Alligator mississippiensis: one gene and its partners. The protein of the gene in region 4 purifies or fractionates together with the protein of the main gene of each other region. This does not show direct contact. Links are inferred from orthologs where the notes say so. Each region holds a gene or a part of one and is shown on either strand. Other genes may lie near its edges. The genes, in order: PHF12, ARID4B, CUL4A and RBBP7.

Evidence for each region.
Region 1: the proteins of RBBP7 (region 4) and PHF12 purify together in Homo sapiens (affinity purification with mass spectrometry; 5 studies listed by BioGRID and IntAct, counting the BioPlex papers as one, with this or other methods). This does not show direct contact. The link is inferred for Alligator mississippiensis from reciprocal best matches to the Homo sapiens genes RBBP7 and PHF12.
Region 2: the proteins of RBBP7 (region 4) and ARID4B purify together in Homo sapiens (affinity purification with mass spectrometry; 3 studies listed by BioGRID and IntAct, counting the BioPlex papers as one, with this or other methods). This does not show direct contact. The link is inferred for Alligator mississippiensis from reciprocal best matches to the Homo sapiens genes RBBP7 and ARID4B.
Region 3: the proteins of RBBP7 (region 4) and CUL4A purify together in Homo sapiens (affinity purification with western blotting; 4 studies listed by BioGRID). This does not show direct contact. The link is inferred for Alligator mississippiensis from reciprocal best matches to the Homo sapiens genes RBBP7 and CUL4A.

What each region holds. Positions count from the first base shown.
Region 1 is NC_081837.1:1,260,805-1,268,290, forward strand, and holds the start of PHF12 (PHD finger protein 12), read right to left. Parts: upstream 3,016-7,486; 5' UTR 2,903-3,015; coding exon 2,837-2,902; intron 2,733-2,836; coding exon 2,551-2,732; intron 1-2,550. Other genes in the region: SEZ6 (seizure protein 6 homolog), read right to left, coding at 6,707-6,739, 6,948-7,050, 7,221-7,341.
Region 2 is NC_081824.1:153,085,656-153,092,857, forward strand, and holds the start of ARID4B (AT-rich interactive domain-containing protein 4B), read right to left. Parts: upstream 3,001-7,202; 5' UTR 2,826-3,000; intron 2,500-2,825; 5' UTR 2,452-2,499; coding exon 2,446-2,451; intron 1-2,445. Other genes in the region: GGPS1 (geranylgeranyl pyrophosphate synthase), read left to right, coding at 3,351-3,476, 5,774-5,876. UniProt on the Homo sapiens protein: Acts as a transcriptional repressor. May function in the assembly and/or enzymatic activity of the Sin3A corepressor complex or in mediating interactions between the complex and other regulatory complexes.
Region 3 is NC_081824.1:351,845,692-351,852,925, reverse strand, and holds the start of CUL4A (cullin-4A), read left to right. Parts: upstream 1-4,226; 5' UTR 4,227-4,254; coding exon 4,255-4,414; intron 4,415-7,234. Other genes in the region: PCID2 (PCI domain-containing protein 2), read right to left, coding at 1,336-1,425, 3,574-3,609. UniProt on the Homo sapiens protein: Core component of multiple cullin-RING-based E3 ubiquitin-protein ligase complexes which mediate the ubiquitination of target proteins. As a scaffold protein may contribute to catalysis through positioning of the substrate and the ubiquitin-conjugating enzyme.
Region 4 is NC_081824.1:321,628,902-321,636,125, reverse strand, and holds the start of RBBP7 (histone-binding protein RBBP7), read right to left. Parts: upstream 3,015-7,224; 5' UTR 2,915-3,014; coding exon 2,899-2,914; intron 2,797-2,898; coding exon 2,652-2,796; intron 878-2,651; coding exon 735-877; intron 96-734; coding exon 1-95. UniProt on the Homo sapiens protein: Core histone-binding subunit that may target chromatin remodeling factors, histone acetyltransferases and histone deacetylases to their histone substrates in a manner that is regulated by nucleosomal DNA.

The DNA of each region.
Region 1 (7,486 bases), on a different chromosome or scaffold from region 4:
TCTTGCAACGGAACCGAGCAGAGACTGACCGCATTGTTTCTAGAGCTGGTCAATAATTTGCACTCATATGATCCCATTAGCAGGCAAAACCCTATCAATATGCAAACTTTGTAACCAAAACTAGACTTTTAAAAGCTGAAGCAATACAGTCTCTTTGAATAAAAATAAACAAGCCAGCAAAAGTTGAAAAGAGTTTGCAACGGGAAATTTCATCTTGAGGAACAGTGGACATAGACATCAGAAGTGGTATCATAGCTAGACTACTGAAAATGCAACATGACTTCTCTAAAGAACATTACACCATATCCCAGTTCATCGCAGAATCAATACATCAACGAATACATCAACGAATTCTAAGGGTGTGCTTAAAAAGAAGAATACATGTTTTGTTTGTTTGTCACAGGCTAATCGTTGTGGAATAGCATTTTAAGATTGGCCAAATTTATAATAAATTAATCAAATTCTGTTCCTGCCACACAGAGCCACTGTGAGAGTGACAATCCTATCATAACACCATTTTTCTGAGAAGGAAATAAACTAGCTAGGCCCAGAACAATTCAACACTTAAAAAAAATATATATATATATATATAACTATGATGTGACACAGTCCATAGGTTTCAGAACAAGATAAAAGAATTTTCAGAAGCAGCCGCCTTCCCTGGAGTGACCCTGTCAACATCCAACAATCCTAACTGGAACCACAATATCTGCCTGAAGATTTGCTAACTGAAGTAGGTGAGTCTAACACATTATTGGGCAAGTATGAACAAAGGAGAGTAAGGCCTCCCTCACCAGACTGAAATGGGGTATGGAAATAAGAGTATCAATATACTGAGGTGGGGGGAATTATTGTTCATTTGTTTCCCTTTTTCAAAAAGGAAAAGACCACCGTGAATTTGAACACACATGTATTTATGTAGTCAAGGAACTCAGCTCACTAAGGACTTACACAAGCACTGCTTACTTATTCTTGGAGGCGGCGTGGGCCTAGGAAAAAGCTAGGTTTGTCTCCCAGTTCTGCTGCCAGGTCCCTGAGTGACCTTGGGCAAGTCACTTCCTTCCTCTGACTCATTTTCCTTATCCCCACCTCACAAATTATACAGACCAAAAGCTGCCAATGGCTTCAGACATCTTCTGCGCAGTAGCCATGAGCTCCAATCTCGTGTTAAATTTCTCCTCTGTAGGGATGAGAAAACAGGTTGATAATGCCAGGCTAACATCTAGAGTTCTTAGTCGATCAATTCTGAATTGCTCCACTCCATTGCAGTGGTATGTGTTTAAAGGTATGTTCATTGTTAGTTGCAGGTAATAAATAAAAACAAACAGGGAAACTGCAAGTGCTGCATCTGTGCCTGGAGTTTCTACCCAAAGAGGAAGTTTACTTTAAACAAGATGTAGGAGATGAAAACAAAAACCAAAGATGACCAAGAAAAGAATACTGTCATCCTACAAGCAACTCGTCTCATCCGAATACATCTGGGGAGGGGGGCACACAAGTCTGGGAACAACGGCAGGGCACAGCACAGCCTGGGGTTTTACTCCAGCTAAGGAAGAGGCCTGCTCAGTGGACCTGGCACCTCAGAGGATGTTCATGTTGTAGCTGTAGAAAACAGGATGCTTCTCTCTCACACCGCGATTTGCACTGCTGCTGATCTGTCCGTACACCCAACCCCAGCAATCCCCTGCACGCGCGAGCCGCTGCCTCCTCTACTATTTTAGCAAGTAGAAGTTGACAGGATCAAGCCCTGTTTTCATGACCGAACTGACTAGTCAAGACGATTCATCCAGTTGTTGGGGGAAAAAACCGCCCCCAAAAACCACTCCCCAGATGCCTCCAAGGCGCATAAAGCGAGCATCGTTTCTCACTCGCCGATTAAAACCAAGAAACCTTCACCGCGTTAAACACCACAGCTTGCGCATCTCTCCCCGACTCAAAGAGACACGTCGACTGTTACGACAAGGCAGGGCACAGTCGGTCGATTCATCCACGCTCGGTTTTCATTGAGAAGCGGAGCCGCGACGCTTCCCCCCACTCCCGCCAACAAACTCCTCGAAGAACCGGACTTCAAAAGCCCGCAAACAACCGCTGAAAAAAGGTATGCGTGAGGCTATTTTGGGAAACTGAACATAAAAGCACGCTCCCCCCCCTCCCCCGTCCCTCCTCCTCCTCCTCGCTGACGAGGCAACGGCGGTTCTACCCCCAGCGCACGCACACACGCGAGGCTAAGCCGGCACAAAAGCTTCCCAGTCCGACGTGCGACATCCTGACAGCCACAAATCGCAGAACCGGAAGGGATCGTGGAGTCCAGACGGCACCCCTGCCCCGAACATCTCCTTGCTGACGCTGCGCGCGTCGCCGAAGCCCAGCGCGCCCCGCACGGACGGGACAAAAAGGCCGGGTGCTGCCGCCGCGACGCCGGCCCCGCGAGGAACATGTCCGCGAGGGGGGGTGGGCACCCCCCTGTCCCGGGGCAGGCAAAATGGCGCTGAGCACGAAAACACGCCATGTTGGGGTGAGCGGGCAGCGGGGGCCCGGGCTGGGCCTTACCAGCACTGCAGGTGGAAGGCGGCGGGGCAGTGGTCGCAGCACAGCAGGTCGCCGCCCTCCTTGCAGCTGTCGCAGCTGTCGTGGTTGGTGGCGCGGCCGCTGCGGCGCGGCTCCCGCTCGGGCCGGCGGCTCCGCTTGTCGCCGTCCTCGCTGCGCGGCGGCGCCAGCAGGGCCTGGATTTGCTGCGCGGGGAGAGAAAGACAGGCGGCCGGGATCAGGCTCGGGATCAGGCCCGCCGCCCCCCGCCACCCGCCGCCGCCGCCATCTTGCCGCCGCGGCCCCTCACCTCCATGAGCCCGCCCGACGTGTCCAGGTCGTACACCACGGTCTTGGCCTCCATCTTCTCCCACATGGGGCCGGGCCGGCCTAGCCCACGGGCCGGGGGCGGCGGCGGGCGGCGGGGGGGGCCGGGCCGGCCATGGCGGGGGAGGGGGGGGCTGCCGCGCCTCACACGCACCGCCGCGCCTCAGGCCCCGCCGCCGCCCCCGCGCAGGCGCAGCGCCGCCGCGCCCCCCCCCCAACTCCCCCCAGCGCGCAGGCGCAGTGGCGGCGGGTCCGGGCGCAGGCGCCAGCTGGCGGCGCGGCGGCACTGCGCAGGCGCGGGGCGGGGGGGGGCGCAGGCGCGCCGAGGCTCGGCCGGCCCTGACCGGACGCGCGGGGCGGGCGGCGCAGGCGCACGGCGCGGAGGGGGAGGGAAGAAAGGGGAGGGAGGGGAAGGGTCTTGTTGCGCAGGCGCGCGGAGGGATGAGTGCTGCGCAGGCGCGGCTGGGCTGGGCTGGGCTGGGCTGGGCTGGAGGAGGGGTGGTGGTGGTGCGCGGCGCGGCCGGCAGGGGGAGACCTGCTGCTGCCACGTGGGGGTGCATGGGGGTGCACAAAGCTGGGGGGCAGGCTGGGTGCAGAGGGGGACTGTGCATGGTGAAGTGGGGGCAGGATTCGTGCCTGTAGCAGCTGGCACCCCTTCCTGCTTGCCTGGCTGGGGCTGCCCCCTCCTCAGGGGCCCCTCTCGGCTCAGCCCCTCCCCAGCCCTCTGCTGCTGGATCAGGCCCCAAATCCCCAAAGTCACGAGCACCAGTGTTTTCCCCTGAAGCTCCTGTCACCGGGCAGCCCTGCAGGGCAGGAGTCACGCCAGGCCAAGGGGGGGAGCGGTGGCGGGGGCTGGTGCCCTGGGCTTGGCCCGCGCCTGCTGCAGCCTGAAGAGGGCCCGGCTCTCCCTGTGGGTCCCCTGGGGCAGCCAGGCCTGGCCTCTCCTGGGGCAGCTTTGTGCATGGAGACTCCTGCAGGACCTGGGCTGGGACCCATCTCACCCCTCCCAGAGCAGCTGCTGGATGTGGCCCCGCTCCTCTGGATGTCTGTGCCCCCCACAAGGAGCCTCCGCACCCCAAGGAGGAGCTGCCGCGACCCCAGGGCTTGCAGGGGTCGGGACAGGACCGAGCCCTGCCTGTCCTGCCCCCAGCTGTGACGCCACGCGGCTGGTCCCGCGGCAGCCAGCTGGGCTGCGGCCTTGACGTTGGCTGCCTTCACCGTGAAGTCGGGCTGAGCTCCCCCATGAGCGTCACGGCGAGCTGGGCCTGGCGTGCGTGCGTGCATGCACGAGATCCCTCTCCGCTGGCTTTGTTCCTGCCCTCAGTCCTTGCAATGGAGCCACGCAGCGAGCGCTGTCTTCTGCAGATGGGATTTCGCTGCCGGGGGCTCTGGCTGCATCGTGCTGTCAGCTCGGGTTAGCTCAAATCAATTTTCCAGGGGCCGGCGGGAGCCCTCTAGCAGCCGCCCCGATGCCTCCATGCAGCCCTGCTCCGTGCTGCCCCGTGCAACACCCCGACAGCTCGTGCTGGGCATGAGCGATGCTGCGGCTCCACGCGGTCCCCTAAGGCAGGGGCGCATGGGCCAAAGGGAGCCTGAGTGTCGTGGCTCGTGGCCTGGGGCTGCTGGGCTGGGGTCCAGGGCCACTGGGGCAGGTGACGTGCTGCTTCAGGGTCCTGCCTTCCCACGGCCCTGCACTTGGGGCGCCCTGGCATGGAGTTTCGGGGCAGCAGACGCCTGGCTCTGATCCTGAGGGGTGCGGTACCTTCCCATCTCCCACCACGATGTGTGGGCTGCCCTCACGGCCAGTGCTGCCGGGCAGCGGAGACGCAGGTGCAAGGCTCTTGTTGTCCAGCCAGCGCAGGGCTCTGGGGCATCCCTCCTTCGTCCCAGGCTGCGGCCGGACTGACATCCGGGACACTTACCGCTGGTGCAGATCCCAAAGCCATGGTCTTGTCCGCCTGTCTCCCAGTAGCCTGCCCCTCGGCCATCTCCATCCAGCCGTGACCCGGGGCGCAGCCCCCTGAACTGTCCTGGTGGCCTGGCTGAGCCCCGGGCTTCCTCAGCACCCCTAACCCTTGTCAGGACAGTGCCCCCCCATTCCCCCGTGTGACTGCAGGCCCGGCCACCCCCCAGGACGCCTGCACCACGACTGAGCAGCTTCTTCTAAAACACCGGTTTATTAATGAACCAACTGAAAGAAACGATGGGGCTGTCTCCAAAACGGGCGGCGCGGCGGAGGGGCGTATTGTACACGTGACATGTAAAAAGCTTCCTGCCTGGACCAGGGCTTGGCAGGCCAGGGAGGCCGGGACGGGGTCAGTGGCTAGCCCTGGGGAGCCCCTTGCCCTACGGTGCTGGGGAAGGGCCCTGGAGCCTGTCTCCCTGGGGCTGAGCGGGAACAGGCGCTGGCAGTGGAAGCAGGAAGCAATGGTCCTGTAGGGATCGTCCTTGGCCTTGCCCGGCTGCCCGGTCCAGCTGGGTTTCTCACAGAGAACGGCCCGGAGCTGGTCACAGGGCAGGGGCTGGCGAGTCATCTCCAGCACCCCAACGCCCCAGGCCGGCTCCGTGTGCCACCCCTCCTGTGCCCGCAGCTGAGAGATGCAGCCGGGGCCTGCTGGACCCTGGGGTGCATGTGGTGCCAGGCTGGTCTCCGGGCAGAGGTCGCACGTGCAGAGCTGAGCTAGGGGCTGGGATGCCAGGCTGGCCGCAGGGAGCATGGCGTCCGGTGTCTGCCCCCCCCCCCTGCACCTTGTTCAGGCCCCGGGGGGACAAGCAGGGGGCAGAAAGGCCCGGGTCTACTCGCTGCTGCCTACAGGGATGGGGGTCTCTGAGGGGCCTGGAGGAGGCTGCCTGTGGGGTCAGGATGGTGCCCGGGGAGGAGGCGGCTGTGCCGGGCAAGGGACGTGTGTGGCCGGGCACCAGGTCAGCGAATGCAGCATGCTCATGGGGGGGGGGCATGGGCAGGGAGGTGGTGATGGTGGCAGGCAGGGGGCATGGGCAGCGAGGGAAACACACGGCGGGCAGGACGGGGCAGTGCCAGCACCCAGCAAGCAGTGCCCCTCCATTACAGAGCAGATGCAGGAGGCCTGGCCTGGCCCCTGGGCTCTGCCCTTCTCCCCCATCCATCCTGCCCCCTACGCAACCAGCACATTGGGAGCAGGGGATGAGAGGGGAGACCCTGCCCAGGGCGGGACTCTGCCGGCTGGAGGGAGCCTGGTTCAGAGCCGGCACAGGCCTGCAGCTGGCAGACCGCTGTGTTCAGCCTCTGCCCCTTCACCCTGCTCCCCAGGCCGGGGCTGGACATGCCACGCATGCCTGGTCCCCGTGGCTCTGACAGCCAGGACACGGGCAGCACGGCTCTGCAGAGCACCAGCCTGGCCCTGCCCAGCCCTGGGCCAGGCTATGCAAGTGCCCTCGGGCTGTGCTGCCCGTGCCCGGCAGCCAGCCAGGGCAGTGCTGTGAAGAGCCAGCTCTCAGGCAGCGCGCTCAGCTCCCCCGGGCCCGGGCACCACCTGCCCATGTGGCCAGAGGGAGCAGACTCACGCAGGCCTGGCTGGGAACGGGCAGGGCTGGTTCTGGCTGCCACGAAGCCCACGGCTCCGGCACCAGCCAGGAGCAGCTGCCCTGGGGCCAGCCCCTGCGGGGGGAGAGGCAGGACCCAAGGGGCTGGCTCGGCCGGACAATGCTGGCCTGCTCCCGGCGCACGACGGTCCCCTGGGGCAGCATGACATCCCCTCCCAGGGCAGCGCGCGGGCCACAGCTGCTCCAGTGTTGCGGCAGGTGCCTCCTCCTCCTGCTGCTGCTGCTCCAGCTCCAGCTCCGGCTCAGCGCGGCCTCGGCCTAGATGGAGACCTCATATTCCCTCATCTCCTGGGAAAAAGACAGACTGCAGGGGGTTGGACACGTGCCGCGGCTGTGGGGCGCCGCGGGTACGGGGTCCTCCCCAGCCCCTGCAGCTGCAGCGAGACTGCTGCTGCCTCTGCCCACCTCCCCAGGCATCGGCGTGCCCCCCGCTGCCCCCTGGCCCCCACCGCCCCCCAGCCCAGGGCTCCCTGCCCCCATGGCCCCAGCCCCGGGCGGGACTCAGCACTTACTCCGGTCTCGTAGGTGGGGTTGTCAAAGGCCGACTCCACGGTGATGTGGTCGTAGGGGTGTGACCCCGAGAGCGGCAGCTGCAGAGACGGCTTCCCCTGGAGCCTGCGGAGAGGCATGGCCCCGGGGGGGGGGGGGGCAGCGTGGGACTGATGGGCCCGGGGCAGGCTGGGGCTGGGTTGTGCCCATGGGGCAGGACCAAGCCCTGGCAGATCCAGGTGCAGGGCGCAGTGGGCCCAGACAGTGCTCGGCTGAGCTGGCAGCCGGATGCTCACCTGGAGAAGTAGAGGCAAATGCCACCCAGGAGCAATGCCACTGCGACCACGGGCAGGAGAACAGCGACAGCGACGTTGGTGCTCTCCAGCGCAGCCCCCGCAGGCATGGCCTTGGCGACTGCTGGGGAGAGACACGGGCACGGAGGCCCAGCGTGACCAGTGAGGGCAGTGGTTGGCTGAAGCTCAGCAGGGCCCGGGGGACCCTGCCTGGGGGGCCTTCCCCCAGCTCCCGGGACAGCCGTCGGCTCAGCCCCCCCGAAACCCCA
Region 2 (7,202 bases), about 170 Mb from region 4:
CTTTACACAGAAGTGTAAAAATCCAACCTTCTTCTTTTCACAGATGAGAAAAACGAGGTACAGCAAATGTAATGGACATGTTCAAAAGAGTCACATAAATAATCAATGGCACAGCTCAGAACAAAACCTGGAACACCTCACATCCTCCCTCTAATCCACCAATCGGTACAACACACTATCCCTGCACCCAAAGGAAGAACTACTAAGGTATAAAATGACAACTTAAGCCCCCAGCCCTGCAATAGGTACCACATTATAGGACTCATTATAAGCTCTTGGTGCTTGATACTTTAAATAATAAGGTGCCCAGAATCACACACTTCTGGTTGTTTACAAACAAAAAAAAGTCATGTAAAAGTCATATCTTCTCTTTTATCAGCCATCCAGTTACAGTGAAATGGGCAGACAGACAAAATTGTTTACCTGAAAATTCTCTTCTTTTACTTCCCTCCCACTGCAATCTTACAAACTTAAAAGCTGTGTCTTGTATGGCTGTTTATAATTTTGCATCATTCAGTGGATGATGTAAAATCTTAAATCCTTTTTAAGATTTAAGCTTTTAACATTTTCATGCTGGAAATGTAAAAAATTTCAGTGCAACTAGCAGCTCCCAGATTAAATCACAAATTTAAGTCTGAATTTAAATTTTCCAGAGAAACTAGGCTCCGTTTTTTTGTTCATCCCAAACATCTAGAAGTTTAGGAATCAGCAGAAACAAATCAGAGTGTATTTTCAAATGAGTCAAATTCAGTATTCAATAACATTAGCAGCATCCATCTTGATAAAAAAAAAATGAAACCTCCTTTAACAATAGTAGTATAAATCTTACTAAAGGGTAAGGAAACATGCAGGTTTTAAAAAAAAATATGGATCTATAAACAGACTTTATGGATGTATAAAACAGAGAGATATTTAAGTTGTAATAATCTGCTCTGTATTCAGCTGAGGTAGAAGAGAGGTTTCTCACTCTACTATAGAGCACACTTTACCCTCCAACTCAGAATTAGATTTCCTTAACTCCAGCAATTGCAGATCTACACATTTACATGACTCCAATAACCACTCTATCTGAGCACCAATCTCTAAGGTAACTGCAGCATTTATGTGGAAAAAGTAACATTAAAAAAGTAGGTGTGTATATATAGCTATCTTTAAAATAAATTATTTTTCTTCTGAGAAAAAGACCTCACTATATTGTCTCCTCCTGCTCTAAATTTAATTCTCCATTTGTCTCAATCCATTTCAGTAACCCAATTCGAACAAGCATTGTGTTCTGATCCAACACTCCACAGACCACAGTTTGGGAACTTGCATATCACACTGCAGAAGTCTGACTATTGCTTTTCTTACTTAAAGCAACCAATTTATCCAATAAGCATTTTGGTGCAAGACCTCAGAACTTATCAGTTCAGCTTAGTTAAAAAAAATATACACACACAAAAAAAACCCAAACAACATAGGAAAGCACAGTTCCAAGTGTACATTTGAAGGTTCTTTTTTCATTAGTCACCAGGAGAAATGTGCTGAACCTTTAACTAATCAGACAAGACTAACTGCTGTGCTTAGCATCACTAACTAAACCTAGTTATTGAAGCTGTATATGCCGTCTACCATTTCCAGCACTTCACAAACACAATGTCACCGCACTCATTTTGCTTCTGCACAGACAAGAGCTGTCCAGAACCCAGAAAGGACATGACTCTTTAGAAGCAGGCGACTGCGCTCAGGGCTGAATAACAAAGCTGATATGTTGCGCGTGAATGCCAAGCGGTCTGCCACGGCTCTTTTTCCTGCAGTTATGCAGCAAGTGCGTTCGACAGCTTTTTAGAAAGCTGGGAAGCCAGATCCATTGCAGCACAATAGGGGCATGATCCTGATTGCATGTTCTAAGCCACACAGCAAGGCCAATAACAGCCTTTCAAAGGAGGCCCTGCCATCACCGAGGCTCAGGGGAGGAAGAAGGGGAAACCCTGCTAAATCGCACTTGTTAAACTAGGACTCAGAAGCCAGATTCATTACCAAAAACCAGATCCGGACAGAGGTTAAGCAGCCCTTGAAGCCTGGCCAGCCTGAGGACCGAGGGTCTAACAAATGCCAGGAGAAGGAGAAAAAGTGCCTGGCAAATGGTCTGAAAAGGAAACTAAAAAAGCTGCCTGAAAAATGATCCGGCTGCTGCGCCTCCCAGCCCGGCCCCACTGCGGAGTATCCCGCGCCCCCCGCCCCCAATCGGGGCGGCTCATACAGCGGGACGCGGGGCATTCATCCACCGCCCCCCCCCACAGCGGGGCCTGCGATGCTGCGGCCGCCACCGCCTCCCTCCGCAGCGCAACCCAGGCCGCCATGTCCTCGCTCCCCTCCCGCCAGGACCCGCATTGTCCCCGGCCCGGGCGGACACCAGGGGACGCGGATGCCGCCTCCCCCACCTCCCCCCGGCCCCCGCGTTACCTTCATGATGAGCTCAGGCTGCGGTAAAACCCCCGAGCGCGGCCCAGGTCGGACCTGCAACGCAAAACAAAAGCGCTCAAGCCGCCGCCACACCGCACCGGGCAGCTGCTGCGCGGGGAGGGGGCCCACCCGCGCGCCCGGCGCCCCCCTTGCCCGCTGACGCCATTTCTGTCAGAGGAGAAACTTGCCACAACAACAACCCGCCGCCGCCGAGCCGAGCCCCGCTCCCCCGCCGGGCACGGGGGGCGGCCCCAGCATTGCTCCCCGCAAGGGGCAGCGGGAAAGGGGAGGGGGGACAACTCCCGCCGCAGTCCGGTGATGAGAAGAAAAACAACCCCCGCCCCTCCCCCACCCCCGGCCGCTCCCGGCCCCCCGGTTACCTTTGTTCGGCGCCGGCCGCCCGCAGCTCCCCTGGCCCGGGCGGAAGCACAGGGAGCGCAGCCGCCCCTAGGCTCCGGCCCCGCTGGCTCTCTGCGACACACGGGCCGATGCTCCCGGCCGGACGCAACGACGCTGCCTACTCCGCGACGCTCCGCTGCAAGCCTCGAGCGCCCCTCCCCCCTCTCCCCAACTGCCTGCCTGACGGGCGGAGCGGGCCCCGCCCTCTCGCCCCGCCAATTGGCCCGCGCTCCGCCAGGGCCCGCCTCCCCTCCGCCGCCATTGGTCGCCGCTTCGGAAAGGTTGACGTCAGTTTTCCCCCAGTTCTATGGAAACACCGACTCGGTGCCGCGGAGGCTCGCGGGAGCTGCGGTTCTTCCCCCGCCGCTCCGAGCGCCGGGGCCGGGGCGGACGGACTACACCGCCCAGGGTGCACCGCGCGAGGCCCCGCCGCTCGGAGTGGGGGCGGGCCCCGCGCCTGCGCCTGCGCGCTGCGGCTCTGGTGGCGCATTTTCCCCCAACGGGCGATGGTGGCGGCAGCTGCTGCGGTGAAGGCGGAAGGGGGTGGAGCCTGGTTTCCCTTCCCTACTCCTCCGCCCCCCGCGGAGCCGGGGTTCGGCACCTCTCCTCGCGTTGAAGTCCGGCGGCGCCGGGTGCGGGGCGGTACTTGGGGGCTAGTCTCGTTCTGCACGGAGTGGCCGGGCGCGCGGTAGGTGTTGGTTGGTGCCTGGTGGCCGGCTGGGACATAGATGGCGGCTCTCCCGCCCCTGCTATCTCACTCGTCAGGCCCGCGTCGCCGTCAAGCAGCAGTTCCCAAACTGGGTCGTGACCCCCAGTGGAGTTCCAGCATCAGCGGATCCCCATCGTGGGGGTGGCGGGTTGGGAGTGAGGGGCCAGGCTGGGGAAAGGGGGGTGGCAATGGGGCCAGGCTGGGGAAATGTTTATGGAGCTCTGGCCGGAGCTCTGGCCAGACCTCTTTGCCAAATGCTAGCAAGCTGGAGCGCCCTTCAACCCACCCCCCCATCCCCCCTCCTTGAGTAAGGACTGGCAGCCTTGTGGTGTCGCTTGCTGTGGGGAGCGCTTGCCAACTTGGCCCCGAGAAGGAAGAGGCACCTACTTCTAGAGGGGGATGTTGTCAGGGGGCTTCTCGGGCTCTGAACCACCAGGTGAAACCTCCCGGTTTCACTTGCGTTAGCTTGCCCTCTTTGTGGGGTTCAGGTGGCCTAACGGCTGCGAAAGGGTGTCCCAGCACGGTGGTCCCTTTTCCAATGTTATCTTTGTTCTGACTTTATTTTTTTTAAATCTATTTGTATCCTTATTTTGGGGGGAGATTGCGGTAGCCTTCCTTGTCTTTGATCGGTACCTTATTTCTCAAAGTCCCACGAAATTCCATTTTGGCAGCGCAAGACCGTATGCACCCAGGTTCGGCAGTCCATGGCCTGCAAGTCGCCAACTACTGGATCCATTCTGCAGAGTGGGGGCTTTGGCACTCCTGACATTGCCTGTGTTATATGTAACTGGACAGGCAGGCACTTCTCCCGTGCTCTTCCACAGCTTAGCCTAAGCATGAGACCTCCTTTGTGCCTGGAAAACCTTGCCAAGCCCTGGTGTCACGCTCTCTCTTTCTCTCTCTCCCCCATTCCCACTTGCTGTCATATGTTTTGTGTTGTGTTTTTTGCGGGGAGGGTTTTAAGGAGTTAACACTACTTTTGATATTAACTAACTTCCAGTTGTTTAATGCTTGTTTTAATATTAACTTACAGTAGTTTAATAACAGTTGCAATAAACAGTTTTCAATTATCAAATCACTTAAAGATGAATTTAAATCTACTCTACAATGTAGACTTCTTTTAACTGGTCTCCTGGATGTGCCTGTTCTCAAAACATATATGGTACTGATGTTTCTTAATGTACTCTAGAAATAATCCTGCTTTACTGGTAAGGTAGCAACTAGACAGCATTTACTAGGGCAGAGGAAATGGCTTCTTGCAAGGTGCTTGCCAGCAGGTAAGAACTGCTGTTGGAGTGGCACGGAACTTCGTGCCACCACTGCAGGTCCAGTCTTGCCATGACAGAAGCAAGTGGTGAGTTTTGACCTGCTCTATCTGCAGTGCAGCAACAAAGGTTAGAGGTAAGAAGAGGGAAAATGAATTCTAGAAAGGAGTCTGAAAATCACAGAAATGCTTACAGCCTGGAAATGGAGAGGAGGGCATGAACTGAGGGAAACAAGTCCTAGAATGAACTATCCAGGGAAGCTGAGTCTGAAATGACAGCAAGAGAACCTGACACACGCATCCAAGAGTATGATATAGAAGAGAAAGGGGGGAAAAAAGCAAAATTGCTAAACCTAAAAGGACAGGACATGGCACAAAGAGAGAAATGGAAAAGAATAAAAACTGAAGCAAAAAGCTCAAGAAGCCCCTATAATTTCCCTTTTTATTTAAAAAATGTCTCTTAAAAAGGAGGGGGTGGGAAGGGACACTGATCTTTTGTCCAGTAGAAAAACTTCAGGAAAAAATTCCCAGATGAAAAATAGGTGCTTGACACACATGTTGCTGTCTTTTAATGTTATCTGAGATATTTATAATGTTGGTACTTCAAAGTCACAGAAGCTAAAGTAGACTCAAAAAATAAGCCTTAATTTAAAATAACTTTGACTTTTCAAAAGTAGGTTTCAGTTTTTAAAAGTTTGAGACTTCCTTATGTCTTTATTAATAATGCCAAAGCCATTAGTCTTTTGTATTGCAAAGCTGGTGATAATTGAAAATGCTGCCTTTAAAGGAACATTTACATGTGGTCTGAGTATCTGAAGCCTGCTTATTTTTTCTCCTTCTTTCTAAACAGGTGCTAATGATTTGACTCTCACTTTGATTTTTTTTTTTTTTTTTTTGTCTCTCTCTTTAATTTCTCTAATCTGAATTTGTAACAATAACTCTTAACCTTTTAACAGGGTGAAGCACTGTTTTTCTTTTTTAACACCGAAATGGAGCAGGCGGAACAAACATCTAAAAGACTTCTTTTAGAGCCTTACAAGTACTTACTTCAACTACCAGGCAAGTCTTTTTTGTTGCTGTTCTGTTCTATTTAACAAATTTGTTATCATAGACTTAAATGCATATCAATTCACATAATTTTACATGTCTATCCAGTCTCGAGTTGCATTGAGTTCTGAGTAGATTTTCTTTAATTGAAAGCCACGGCATTTTCTGTGTCATAACCTTACTGTGCATAGCATTTCTTGGGCTGGTACCTTGTTTTTCTGATCTGTCCACTTAATGCAAATGTTCTTCCTCTCCCTCAATACTGCATTCAAAAGAGACTATTGCTATCTACTACATCTCTGGTGAAAGGAAGTGCAAGCACTGAAGACCTGGTCTAGCTCTTGAACAGAAATAGTCTGTTCAGAGCTTGACCTGTATCTTCTGCTGGAACTTTTGATCTCTCTATTGCTCTCTTCAACTAGAGTTGCTTAGTCATGCACAAGAATATTTTTTGTGGTCAAATTCAACTGTACCTAGCTCACCGAATATTTCCAGAGGGTCAGCCAAGGCTTGTGTGTCGGCTTCAGGCCAGGTGATAGCATATTCATAGGAAGTATTCCTCTGAAATATGGTAATAGTTCATGTAGAATAAAGCCAATCTCTGGGGGGAAAACAGCACAAATAAATACCATTGTACATAGCTTTGTTTATACAGGTAAGGAGTTCTGGTGGGTTTGGCACTGTGCAGAACAGTATAAAACAAGAAAATGCGGACAAACACAATGGTGACTAATCACTAGGGATTGGGTTTTCCATCTGCCATGTAAAAATGGAAAAAAATGCAGATTTTCCACTTTTTTTGAAAAGTGCTTGCTGCAGGCTAGCAAAGTTGTGGCCTGTAAGGGGCTGGAAGGAACAGGAGTAGGGCAGGCACGGGGCGCCATGTGCACACTCACACACGCGCATGGTCACCAGGCAGCCTGGAAAGCAGCTCAGGAAGGTAAAGTCTGTGGAGGTGGGGCAGGAATTGAGGCCCCCATAGGGAGGGAGTTGGGCAGGACCGGGGCTGGAGCTACTGCCCAGCTGGGCAGTGTGTGGGGCTTGAGGCCTGGGGCCCGAATGCACAGCTACAGGGCCCGGGCAGGGAGCAGGACAGAACCCTGGGTGGCTCGTCTGACTGTAGGGCTGACTGACTCCCCACCACTACATGCACACCCGGGAAGGACATGCGGGACACAGGCCCCCAGATCTGTGTATGTGAAGGAGTGGGTGCGAGCTGCCCATCCTGCTGCCCTGTGCCTGGGGGCCTCCAGCCCAGCAGGTGGGACGCAGTGCAGCAGGGTAGAGCAGGGCTGGGTGGGGAAGCTCCTTACTGCTGAAGGCCCCACACCACCCTGG
Region 3 (7,234 bases), about 30 Mb from region 4:
GCCACAGGCAGGTGGGGAGTGGCATCCAGGAGCAGAACATGCAGCTGACGCCAAGGCCAGGGCTTGGATTAGGATCACAGCGCAGTGGTAGTATGGGGCCAGGGCTTGGGGCAGAGTCATGGTCCATCCTCACGACATGCAGAGGCATGTAGGGCGTGGAGCACAGCTCCAGCCCTGCAGTGTTACCACCTTCCAATCCCAGCTCCAGCTGCCCATCCCGCTCCCAGATCCTGCCCCCCACCCACCCACGGCACCATCCCACCTGCCTGGCCAAGCACACCCTGCCCTGCACCCATGGATCCCAGACTACTCTCACTGGGCAGCAACTGTGTGGGGCCAGCTCCAGGGCAGAGCCACTGAGGGAGTTCTGGTGAGCTGGGGTATGAGGGGACGTTAAACCAGTCCTCAACAGATCACCAATACTCTCTCAGTGGCTCTGGCCCAAATAACTACCCACCCCTATGGTAAAGTATTGGGGAAGAAGGGGAAGAAGCATGTCACGGAGAAAGCTGAAGAGTTGAAAATGTGAGAAGGGACAGAAAAACACAAAACCAGAAAGAGCCACTGCTTTGGATCATTAAAAAGATATTTTTCAGGGAAGAAGGCAAGGTAAAATGAGACAAGGCAGGTGGGAAAAAAAGGAAGAGAGAAAAACATAGGCTGGGGACATGTATCTTACAATCTACATTTCACTGTATTCTTCTAGAAACCATTGTATATTTTTTAGGTTATTATGTAGCGAGGAAAAGAATGATGAATGCATCTTATTGCTAATGGGATACAGGGCAATGTTCTTCTGGCCACATATCTGGCTAACTGCAGTTTTAAAATTTACACAGTGACCCACAAAAGGAAAGGTTTTACAGACTATTAATAAAGATACTTTAAATATTCCTAAGGAACTGTAGTGAGGAGCTCACACAAATGAAGTCTATCTGATAGTTAAATGTTTTATAAATGAAATTGTTGTACTTTTCTTCTGAACAGTCTTGGTTTCTCACTTTTAAATTCTGTAGGGCTTTACATAACAGTAGACAACTTTTTCCCCCCAGATTACATCCTAGCTACATTCTCCTTTCTCAGGTATGAGAGGTTTTTTTTGTAGGTTTGTGCCTTTTTAATTTTTTGTGCTTATTTATTATCCTTGCCGTTCCTCTCTGTGGACATTACTTCATCTAACATGGATTTCCTATTTGCATCAAGAAATCATATCCAAATGAGAAAAATCTCATATCCATTAAGAGCCTCTCCAAAGTCGATGAAAATGTACTCCCCCACACAAAGAATATTGCAGGATTTGGGACTGCGATTTGGCAAGGTAACGAATTTCCTTACCTGAAGTCTAGGGTTTGCAACATGAGGATGCTTAAATGATACTAGTTCTGCACAAAAAAGTCCATCTCTGGTATCAATGGCCTCTTGTACCTAAATAAGACAGGTAAAAGTAAAAAAAATAGAAAAAAAAGAAAACAACTGCAAGGAATGACACAAAATTATGGGCTACGGTAAACACACTGGTGGGAAGGGATCAAATCCAGACGGACCTGAACAGGTTGGAAAATTGGGCAGAAAAGAATAGGATGCAGTTCAACAAAGACAAGTGCAAAGTGCTGCATCTAGGGAGAAGGAATCATCAACACACCTATAGGGTAGGGGAGGACATTCGCAGCAGCACAGCAGCAGAAAGGGATCTCGGAGTCATTGTTGACTCCAAGATGAACATGAGCCTTCGGTGTGACGAAGTAAACAGTAAAGCTAACCACGCTCTTATCATGCATTAGCAGGTGCATCATGAACATGTCCAGGGAGGTGATATTTCCCCTCTACACGACACTGGTCAGACCACAGCTGGAGTACTGTGTCCAGTTTTGGGCACCGCACTTCAAGAGGGATGTGGATAACCCTGAGAGGGTCCAGAGGAGGGCCACTCTTATGGTTAGGGGCCTGTAGGTAAGGCCCGATGAGGAGACTGAGGGACCTGAATCTCTTCAGCCGCTGCAAGAGAAGGCTGAGAGGTGATCATGTGGCCGTTTACAAATTCACCAGCTGGGCGGGGGGCAGCAAGAAACAGGAGATGCTCTGTTTACCAGGGCACCCACCCCCTGGAATAACTCGGAACAACGGCCACAAACTGACAGAAAGCAGAATTAGGTTGGACATTAGGAAGAATTTCTTCACAGTAAGTGTTGCCAGAATCTGGAATGGGCTTCCAAGGGAGGTGGTGCTCTCCTCTACCTTGAGGGTCTTTAAGAGGAGACTGGACAAGCACCTGGCTAGAGTCATATGACCCCAGCACTCTTTCCTGCCCAGGGCAGGGGGTCGGACTCTATGATCTATTGAAGTCCCTACTAACCCTAACAACTATGAATAAGTTCTAGACTTAGCCACCTTTTCCCACATATCAAATAAAGCCACTTTCCTGCAGATGCATATACATTCTTGTCAATGACTTTTCAAAAATTAGTTTTTCATGCATTACTTCCAAATAACTTAAGTCCAGAAAATACATATTGAAATTCTGTGAATGATGTGGATGACCAACACTGTCACCACCTTTTTTCTCCTTGCTTACAAAGATCAAAGTAAACCAGAGATCTTACAAAACAATGTTATATCATCATTGTCTTTGGATGATAGGTGTACAAAGTTTCTAAAATGTCTTTAACAATTTCACTTACACTTCCAAGAATAAAGATACACTATTAATTTTCATTATATTATTTATTTTCCTGAAATGGAGGATATTTTAAGTGCAGGGAATCATGTCTCTTAAATGTATCTGAATGTTATTAATGTTTAACAATACAAATTAAATATAGAAGCTTCAGAATACAAAAGCATGTTGGGGGGGGGGGGTCTGATCCAGCCCTGTGCTGTTCATGTGGCCCACGGACTACTCCTGTGTACATCTGTGGCCCATGAGACCAGGCAAATTTGACACCCCTGCATTAATACATCCACCACCCCTCAGGAAGACTTCAAAGGGGCTCCATATGTACATGTGTGTACTGGGTGTATGCATGTGCATGTGTTTGCATGCACGTGTGCACATATTGGGTGTGTGTGGGTGCATGTATGTGCAGGTGTGTATACTGCATGTGTATGTGCGCATGCATGCGTGTATAGTGGGTATCTGAGTTGCTGGTTGTAGCCACGTTGATCTAAGGACATAGACGAGCAAGGTTCTTCGAGTAGATGTGATATCTTTTATTAGACCAACTGAGTAGCTGGAAAAAAGTTCTTTGCAAGCTTTCAGGCACAGTCAGTCTTAGTCGGACATAGGGAGCCTCTGCTGGTCTAAGACTCTAAGGAATGTAGTGGGCATATGCGTGCATATATACTGGGTATGGTGTGCATGTATGTGTGTGTGTAGTGGGTATATGCATGTGCATACTGGGGATGCGTGTGTGCATGTATGTATTGGGTGTGCAGATGTGTGTGTAGTGGGTGTATGCATGTGCACATGCGTGTACACTGGGTATGTGCATACGTGTGTGTTGGGTGGGTGTATACGGGGTGCCCGAGCAGACATGCGGGACAGGGAGGACGAATGCCCGCCGGCCGCCCACCTACCTGCTGCAGGTACTGGTTGATGGTGATGTGCGCCATGCGCCGGGCTGGAGAGGCCGCCCCGTGAGACGCCGGCTCCTCCCAGCTCCGCCGCGCACCCCCAGCTCCCAGGACACAACGAAAGCCCACCCCCTTCACGTGACTTCCACCCTCATCCCTCTTCCTTCCCCTGGTGCGCCCCGTACTCCGTCACGTGTGGGTGGGGCAAGGAGGGGGCGGGGCCAAACAATGCTGGCGCTTACTCCAGCCGAGCGGCCCACCTCCCCGCGCTGACAGGCCAGTCGCGGGAGCCACGTGATCTACGCCAGGCCCACCTGGCTACAGGAGTTAGCTCCGCCCCCCGCCCCTGCTTCTCTTTCGTTGAAAGGGCAGCGCTGGCTCCCCGCCCCCCCCCTTCCTTTACATCCGCGGGAGGCGGGGCTTGTTGCTCCACGCGCTGGGGCCGGGGGCGGGGCTTCCTTAGGGCCATGGGGGCGGGGCCCGGGAACACGGGGGTCTCCAGCTGTGCTACAGGTCCCCGAGCCCAGCCCCCCGCCCGTAGAAGTACAACGCTCACAAACATCTGCACCACATCTGGGGACACGTCCGTTGCCCCCCAGCGCGAGCTAGCCGTTGTGGGAGGCAGGGCTCGGCCGCCATCTTGCGGGCGGGGCGGTAGCGGGGGGCGGGCCGGGGCCGGCGGAGATGGCCGACGAGCCGCGCAAGAAGCCGCACTTGACGGCGCTGGTGGGCCACACCAATGGCCTCACTAAGGCTGTGGCGCTGGCAGGGGGTCGCGTCGGCCCGGGGGGGGGCGCTGTCGCCGCCGCCGCCTCCAAGAAGCTGGTGATCAAGAACTTCCGAGGTGGGTGCGGGGCGGCCCCCTGCCCTCGCCCCCGCGGGGACCCCGGGGAGCCGTGAGCCCAGCCCCGGCCGGGGTCTCCCCTCTGATAGGGGTCTCCCCCCCTCTCCCCTTCCCCCCGCGCCTCGGGGCTGCCGCCTTCCCGGGGCCCCGCCGAGGAGGCCCCTGCCCTCTGCACTGTTTGTCAGCGCGCTGCCAAGCTTCAGTGTGCGACCATCGCATCGGGAGCAAAACACTGTGGTGCTTGCTGGAAAAATCAGCGTGCAAATAAGTTATTTTTTTCCAGACTTTATAGTGCGGGCTGTAGCTCTCTTGTGGGGGAGCGAGGCAGGGCATCCAAGCTGAAGCATTTCTGTATTTCAAGGCAAGTGGACATAAGCAGGGATCCTGGTTTTCTCTGATTGAAAAAAATATATATCCCCAATTTAGGTTTAAGAAAAGGAACCCAGAATCCACATTTTCTATGATTCAAATGAAACACCACTATATCTATCCATCTGTCTCTCTCTCTATCTATCTATAGCAGGGGTGGGCAATTATATCGGACAGAGGGCCGCTTACTGAGTTCTGGCAAGCCATCGAGGGCTGCATGGCAGGCAGCCAGGGGCAGATAACTATTGGTTTTCTAAATGTTTAGGGGCCCCACGGGCTAAATAAAATGACCTGGAGGGTCGCATTTGGCCCGGAGGCCGCATTTGGCCCACCCCTGATCTATAGATATATCTCTATCTGTAGACATATCTCTATCCATCTACGGAGATAGATAGAGATATATCTATAGATATAGATAGATAAATGATTTCACATTTTTCCATGATTAAAATGAACCACCACTAATAAATATATATTTATAGATAGATAGATATGTTATTGATGTTGTATATATATATATTAGTAGTGGTTCATTTTAATCATGGAAAAGTGTGTATTTGGGGTTCCTTTTATTAAACTGAAAATTAGGGATTTTATCCAAGAAAACCAGGATCCCCGGTCATAAGAAGGTGCTGACAACCAACCCAAAAGTCAGTTAAGACGCTGCGTTTTGTGGGCTAAGATCAAGCGTAGTCACTGCACTGGTCTGTTACCCAGACCAAGATGGATTTAAATGGCATTGTGTAGTGGAGGATGCACCCCTGTCCAATGCACTGCAGGCAGAATGTCCTACAAGTTTTAATTAGCTTCCCAGGGCCCAGCTTCCAGTGGGAGGATCTTGCCTACATGCTGACTTTATGGAAATGGGGGATTCCTCCCTACCTTGCTCCTGTGGCTGTTGGCTAAAGGCAGGTGAGACTTGGGGGCATCTGAACTCCAAGCCCTCTGGGTTTGGACCTGCATCTAGGATGCCTGCCAGTGGATTTGGGAGTATCTGAAGCCCGTTGTAGCCCCACAGATGGTGTTTGAACAGTTGAGTTTCTCTCAATGGAGAGGATTCAGAACTGACTTGGCTGATTTGTCCTGAAATATGAAAAATTTTCCAGAATTAAAAAAAAAAGCCAGTTAAGACTCCCTGAGAGACTTGGGTTTTGCATATTCTGCATCAATTAGCTGCCTCAAAAAATTATACATTTTGAACACTCTTACCATTGTTGACTGTACATTGTACAAGCATTGAAATTATAGCACAAATATGATAATTATTGTACACCTGACAACACTGCAGCTTGTTCTGCAGCAGAAGTGGTGTGTGTGTGTGTGGAGCTTTGGGGGGGTCCCTTGTTTCAAGGCTCTACAGAAAGGTGTAAACTCAAAGCTCGCTGCTAATGCAGGCAGCATTGGTTGGGCGCTGCTCTAACTCATTATGTTCAGAGTATTTCTCAGTGGAGCTGCATTCAAAGAAAGTGGCAGCAGATGGGGCCCTGTGTGTGTGTCCTGGCCCTACACCCTGGACTTCAAAGGATGGAGGAGGCTCTCACTCTGCCAGCGACTTTGGGCAGACCCTCCCCTTCCACTGGATGGAGTCCTGTGGAAGGAGGTGGAGGGTTCACCCACATGTCCTTCTTCATCAGTCCTTGCTTAAAAAGGTGCTTTGGTTAAGAGCATATTCATGGCTTAGTTTGGGGAAGATGCTGTTAGGTTAGGTAGGGAGATTCTAATAGTGATGTAGTGTTAAATTTTGCTTTCAAGGCAAACCACGTGTCTTGCAGTACAGCACTTTGTGCACAGAAGCTTGTGTAACATCTGTCCCAGCTGTACTGTTGGTCCAGTAAAAGATACCACAAAAAAACAACCCTCGCTTCTTGCATATTTCCCAAACTGGCACAGCTAAAACAACACTCCAGTGCGATGGCTTCTTTTCCCTCGGGAAGTTGACATAGGCTCTCACTCCACAAGCTACTTCACACATACCATCCCTTTCAGATGGATGGAGTCCTGTTGAAGAAGGTGGAGGGTCTGCCCAAATTGAGATGCTTAACCAAATGGAGATATTCTCTCACAAACATGGACAGTGTGTTAAAAAGTCCAAGTTGCGTTGAGGTGCTGTGATGGCCCAGGAAATATGTGAGAGGAAAGTGTTTATGTGGGCAGTATCTTTTATTGGCTCAACTAACTACATCGGGTCAGCAACCCTCGGCACGTGTGCTGAGTACGGCATGTGAGGCCATTTTGCTCGGGGACGCCACCACCGGCCTGGGCTCTAGGCAGCTGCTGCTAGCCACGAAGCCTGGGCTGCTCCCAGCAGGCAGCTGGGCGGCTGCAAGCCCTGCCGTGGTTGGCAGCAGCTACCCAGAGCCTGGGCTGGCTGCAGCCGGGAGCCTGCAAACATCTGCTCCGGGCTCTGGCATTAGCTCCGTACCAGTGGGTGCATGCGTGCCTTGGAGCAGA
Region 4 (7,224 bases):
CTGGGGCATGTAGCGAGCACGATTTACTTCACCTTCATGGTTAATCTTTATTTCAGTTTCAATTTTGCCTGTTACTGATCCAAAGCCGCCAAATTCTAGATGTTTTTCATAACAAAAGTTCATTAATCACATCATAAATTATTTTGATATACTAAACCCATGTTCTCTAGGTTTTCATGATGTTTAATCTTGCATGAGGCTCATATTAGCACACCAAGCACAACAGACTCTTTAAAACATCTACCTCTTGAAAGTAATGAAACTTTTCAGCTGAATGTAATAAGAGAAAGGAATATTAAAGGCAGTAATTTTCCCCTGAAAAAGGGGAAATCTCTTGCCCAAGCTAGCTGTGTACCAGGTAAGCCTACCAGATGATAGACCCAGTGAAAAAACCTTATTTAAATAATTCTCAAGCTACTACACCTTGTTATCAATATAATTTATACTTAGGTCTTGCAAGACATTTCTGCAAAACGTACCCTTTGTTTAGATTCATGCTAGACATGAATTGTTTAACTTAATACTAGACACGAAAGCCATTTACAGTAAGATTTTTCAGCACTCAACTACTCTGTATAGTGTATGCTAGTAAACAAGTTGCAGTATACACGTATGTTAAAACCAGACATTTAATTAAAAAAAAATATTTCAAGTAAGAATGTAATTCAATAAGATATGCATTATTTACCACTGTGGCTAGAAGAATACACACTGAAAATGCCTGCAAAACCTACCTCCCTTCTCACTATCATATTGAGAGACATCAAACTGATCATCATTAGGAATCTGGACTCTTGCAACCACCAAATGGTTCTGTTCATCAGAGGTGTGTGTTCCCAACACTAACCAGTGAAGGGCATGGTCTTTTCCTTCTGGCCTGCTCGATAAAACAATAGTCATACAAAATAGTCAAAGAGTTCAGGTTTGTTTTTTTTTAACTTATTTTTTTTGCTACAAAGTTTGCCCGTGACACCCAATTGGTCTAGGAGACCAGAGATTAATTCAAAGAGCACTTTTTTTCTGCCATATTAGGAATACTAGTATAAGAGCTTAAGCTGAACTGCAGAGGTTCACAGCACTGTAGACATGACAGATAAATCTTTGCCAAAATTGGAGTGACAATCCCAAAATAATTTTATAATGATTTTCATTACTATGTGAACAGCAGAATTATGACTTTTTATTTGCACAAAAAGATTAAATAAAGGCATTTTGACATTAGTACCTGAGAAGGGCAGGACATGAGATTTTTGTTCTCATGTAAAGATTTTCCAAACAAAAACCAAAAACATGAGTAGCTTAGAAAACAATATTGAATGTTTAAATATGGTCTATTACTAGGAAACTGTTGTGGGGAATAAGTTAGAAATTACAGCAGAACGTGCATTATCTACCAACAACCAAAAAAACATGCCCACAATTTTATGCTGTAACTTAAAAATGGAATCAGGAGACTTCTAGACTATTGTTTCTTCAGTAGCAAATGACAGTTAATAAACTGTGAAAGAAGGTAGCGCCTTAAGACTCAAAGCAATTTCTGTGTTCAAGAAAGCAAAGGCCCAGTACAGACCAAACAAAGCTTCTGGAGGAAAAAAAACCCTAACAGTTCACAATCCCATTGCTATACTGCATCCAATGCTCTCCTCACCCCTGTATGAATAAGCCTCCCATCATGGCAGATGAAACTCAAAAGGGACCATGTTGGTTTTAAGTGATTTACATATTGTGACACTAGCTATACAATTAAAACTAGCTATTTTAAAAAAGTCAAGCCATTAATATGCGAGGTAAGCAGAAGCACTTCACACAAGGGTCTTAGTTAACCTTTCTCTCTCCTTCCCAGCCTCCTGTTCTCAAGTCCTTGCAAGCCCAAATACTTTCACATGCTAAAATAACAATAGATGTAAAGCCATCATTTACACAAACTATGATTTTAGAGGAAAAACAAACCCGCGCCAATTCTCCAATGACTGCACCCCAGCTGTACTGTAAAACACGAGCTACACACACACACACACACACACACACACACCCCCCCCCCCCCCCCCCCCGGCCTTTGACTTTGTTCTGACACCCAGTAGGTATTTATTTCAAGATGCTACTTGGAACATCAAAATGTACAACCGTTAGAGAAAACAGCACAGAGATGAATATCCTCTATCACAGCAGGGGAGGGCAACTGCTTTGGCAGATGCATGGCAACATGAGCCCCACACCCTTCCCTTGCCCCATCAGCTGCTCCAAGATCCACCCCTGCCTCATCAGCTGGGCTGCCATCCCTTTCCTTCCTCTCCCCTCCTCAGAGTAAGGGAGGCTGCCCATGTGTGGCAGTCATGGGGCAGCTATGGCTCCTGGGAGCTCTCAGGAGCACCCCAACTTCTTGATGGACACCTGCAAGGGGTCTAAGCCCCCTCAGCAGGACAAGAGGCCAGCAGGCTTCAGCATCCGTGTCACAGCACAGCTGCCATGGGGTGCCTCTTGCCTCCTGCACAGGTAGAAACAGCCCCACGTGGAACAGGGCAGGGCCGAGGGGCCCCCATTGGAACGTTCCGAGGCGGGGCCGTTAACGGCCCTAGAACGCTCAGGGGCAGGACCGTTAACTGAGGCCCCGCCTCGCGTGCCCGGGGGCAGGGGAAGGGGCCCCGCCTCACCTGGTGACGTCAGGCAGCCACTGCACGGTGAGGCTGGGCCACTCCAACGCGTGGGTCATGACCAGGTCGTAGAGGAAGGGCGTGTTCTTCTTCCACACGCGGTACTCCTCACCGATCACCCGCTCCTCCGCCGGCTCCTCCGCCACTGCCGGCCCAACCGCCGCATCAGGTCCCGGCCAATGGCTCCCTCAAGCTCGAGACCCCCTGTCCTGCCCTCCCCCTTCCCCCACCCCACCTCCCCACTTACCCTCCCGGGTCGCCATCGCGCGAGGGGTGGAGGCGGGGCCGATCTCGCGCCCCGCGCCAGCCGCTGCGCAGGCGCGCTCAAGACGCCCCGCTCCAAACTCGGCTCCCGCCTTCCCACCCGCGCGCATGCGCAGCACCCACCGCCCCGCCTCGACGCCAGGACGCCGCCTGCGCTTGCGTCCGCTTCCTGCGGCCGGCCTCCGCGGAACACAAGAACCCCACCCCCACTTGCCCGCCGGCGACCGAGCGTCGCCTGCGCACGCGCCCTCCTTCCACTCTTCTCCCGCCTGACAGGGCGTTAAGCGCATGCGCAGTAGAGTGCACTGTCGTGGAGGGCGGGGGGAGCCGTAAACGGTGAACGTGGCAGATCAGCGCCCGTTAGCGGGGGGTGCTGGGCACAGCCATTGTTGCTGGGTGTCTGAGAATTTACACCGTCATTTCAACCCTTCTACGATGTACAATCAATAATAGGAAAAGTGTTCAAAATGTACAGTACTTTTTGAGGCAATAATGGAGGCAACTAACATGCAAAACCCGAGTCACGACTCACCGGGAACCCTCTGGGCGTGTTGCTGGTACTCCCCCATGACTACTTGCCTTGAAATAAAAGCATGTTTCAACTTGCATGACCCACACCTCACTCACTCCCTGGCCAGTTGCAGTGAGCAATAAAAAATAAATAAAAAAGGCTTATCTGCATACTTGTTTGCATGTGTCTGCATAATTTTCAGTGTATGATAGTTTTTGAGCAAATATGATAATTTAATATTTAAGACCTGACAATGCACATCACACCGTGGCTCCCGCCTACTTGTCCCTAAGTCACCTGGACTCCTGCCCCCACAGGGCAGCATTGCTGGGGGCTGCTGCCTGTCTCTGAGGGGGCGCTTCAGGATGCTCTTTTTGTCCCTCTGGTGTTTGAAACCTTCCTGCCAAGCTTTCCCCCTTTGCTGCCAGGCCCAGCAGACGCTTGGCACTTTGCTCCTCACCAAAAGAGGGCTGGGACTTGCCCGTCCTCCCCAGTCCTTCCCAGTGCCGGGATACCTGCCCCAGCCCCCTGGTTGGCCAGACTGTGCCTTGCCACCCCCAGAACAAGCTCAGCTCACACCCCAGCGGCGCAGAAGTAGAGTGTGCCCCAACTCCTCTGGCCCTGCAGGCCAGAGGCAGGCAGCAGAGCTTCCCTGGGCCCAGATGACCCACCTTGGCCACTCAGGGGTCACACCAACCCTGCTGCCTTTCCTCTTTTGCCAGTTTTTAGTGGCCAACAACCTCAATCTGACAGCAGGCCGGGGGGCAGGAGCTGTGGTGACCCTGCCCGGGTTGTGGAGTTACGCCAACAAGCCCTGCCGGCCACAATTTGACCTCTCCAGGCTGCCAATTGGCCAGTCCTGTTCCAGTGTGTCTGGATCTGGGATTCATCATTGGTTTGTGACAAGGAAAAAAAATCAAGTTCTCTGGCACAAAGGAGCCACTACTGGTTATATAGCCATAGCTATAGATATCAATATAGATTAGATGTAGTCCACAGACAAAACTACTGCTAACTGTTTCTGATTGCATAGCCAGCTCTTCTACAATAGGAGCAAAGCATAGGCCCCAGTTTTAGTCACTGGATGGAGGAAACACTAACAGAAAATGACTGGTCTACAAAAGACGTGATGAGCACATAGCTCTCAGGCTGCATCTGGGCTACGGAGCAACTTCATCTGGCCCATTGGGCTACCAGAAGTGGAGGGGCATGGCCTGCTGCAGAATCCAGAGTCCCTGTGCACCCTAGTAGACGTGGTCATCAGGGATAGGAGGTCAGCAAGGCTCTGTTGGCACAGTTCTTGATTGCTTACTCTGAAGGTGCTGGTCCCACTACCACTTGCCTGTCCTACCACAGCCACTGCCATCCCTGCTACTGTCTGCACTGGTCCCACTGCCACTGCCCTGTACCTCAAGCTGGAGCTAGCCTGTACAGAAGCCCTCCAATCCAGATCTGACCTAGGGCACAAGGTAAATTTCATACCCCATGTCTACAGTTTTAGAATCACTACAAAGCCCACATATTCTAGTCACTGTAGAGCACAGATTTCCCTTTTTAAAAAGTAAAAAGAAAGCAAATACCTTCTGATGCCACTTCCACTGTTAAAGCAAACTTTCCCTTCACCACAGAACAGTAAAGGATCAGCCCACATTATCCTTTCATATATAAACTTATTCCCAGTTATCAATGACACTAACCTGCATTCCAATGGAATAGTACACTAAGTAAAGATCCTACAACATCAGTATTCAAGTCATTTAGAGCGATGAATAGATGAAAAAAAAGAGCTAAACTGCTCCTGATGCCTGCATAGAATTATGACATTAGTGCAAATGTGAAAATCTAAGGCAGATTTATCAAATATGAAACCAAAAAATCACAAAGGTGATAACAACAAACATCAGTTTATCCAATACCTACATTTCACTTTTCATTTTTACATCTCAGCAGAGCCAGCCTTAGGGAAAATGGTGCCCTGGGTGAACTTGGTGCATCAGTGCATACACCCCCACAACTGACGATGAAGACGTCAACAAAGAACAGTTCTACTGCACTCTTGACACAGTCCTGACTGCCACTGCCAAGGAAGACAAGTTCATCCTCATGGGTAACTTCACACAAGAGTTGGGTGACACTGAATTTTAGAATGGTACCATTGGGAAAGAGGGAAGAAAGTCAATTCCAATGGTATCCTCCTCCTCAGTGAATGTGCAGAGCATGACTTGCTCATGAAAAATACTATCTTCAGACAGAGTGACAAATATAAGATTACTTGGAAACACCCATGCTCCAATCACTGGCACTTTCTTGACTATATTATTGTCAGAGCCCATAATATGAAAGGCTTGCTTTCCAACCTGGCTCTTTGGCTTAGGGGCTTGTGTGCTGAAGCATAAGCCAGAAGGTTGTGAGCCCAAGACTGGGGATAGCCTCCCCTTCCCCTGGGGTGGTAGAGTTTTCACACTGGATGGGAGGGACAGAATCCAGCTAGATCTAGACAGTTTACAGAGGTGGGTGGATCAGAACAGGATAGAAATAAACGCAGGGTACTACATCTAGGGAGAAGGAACCAGCAACACACCTATAGGCTGGGGAACACCCTTCTTGTCAACACAGAGGCAGAAAGGGATCTTGGAGTCATTGTTGACTCCAGGATGGACATCAGCTGCCAATGCAAGGAAGCAGTCAGTAAGGCTAACTGCACCTTGTTGTGCATCTACAGATGCATCACAAGCAGGTCCAGGAAGGTGATCCTTCCCCTCTGTGCAGCGTTAGCCAGGCCACAGTTGGAGTACTGCATCCAGTTCTGGGCGCCACACTTCAAGAGGGATATGGCTAGCATTGTGAGGGTCTAGAGGAGGACCACTCACATGGTCAAGGGGTAGCAGGTCAGGCCCTACGAAGAGAGGCTAAAGGGTCTGAATCTATTCAGCCTCCACAAGAGGGTGGAATAGGACCCCTACTAGATGGGCAGAAGCAATTGGTGACGGACAGGGGGGACAAGGCTGAACTACTCAATGAGTTCTTTGCCTCAGTGTTCCTAAGTGAGGGGCAAGACAAGTCTCTCACTGGGATTGTAGAGAGGCAGCAGCAGGGTGCCAGACTACCAAGCGTAGACCCTGAGATGGTGCAGAGGCGCTTGGAGGAACTGGATGAGTTTAAGTCTGCAGGCCCAGATGAGCTCCATCCGAGGGTACTGAAGGCACTGGCTGACGTCATTGCACAGCCACTGACGGAAATATTTGAACACTCATGGTGCACGGGCCAGGTCCTGGAGGACTGGAAAAGGGCCAATAATGTCCCCATTTTCAAGAAGGGGAAGAAGGAGGACCCAGGCAACTATAGGCCAGTCAGTCTCACCTCCATCCTTGGCAAAGTCTTTGAAAAAATGATCAAGGCTCACATTTGTGAGAGCCCGGCAGGACAAATTATGCTGAGGGGAAACCAGCATGGGTTCATAGCAGGTAGATCATGCCTGACTAATCTAGTCTCTTTTTATGACCAGGTTACAAAACACCTGGGCGCAGGAGTAGGGGTAGACGTCGTTTACTTAGACTTCAGGAAGGCCTTCGATACGGTATCCCACCCCATACTGGTGAAAAAGTTAAGAGGCTGTGACTTGGATGACTGCACAGTCCGGTGGGTGGTGAATTGGCTAGAGGGTCGTACCCAGAGAGTTGTAGTGGATGGGTCGGTCTCAACCTGGAAGGGTGTGGGCAGTGGGGTCCCGCAGGGTTCGGTCCTTGGACCGATACTCTTCAATGTCTTCATCAGTGACTTGGACGAGGGAGTGAAGTG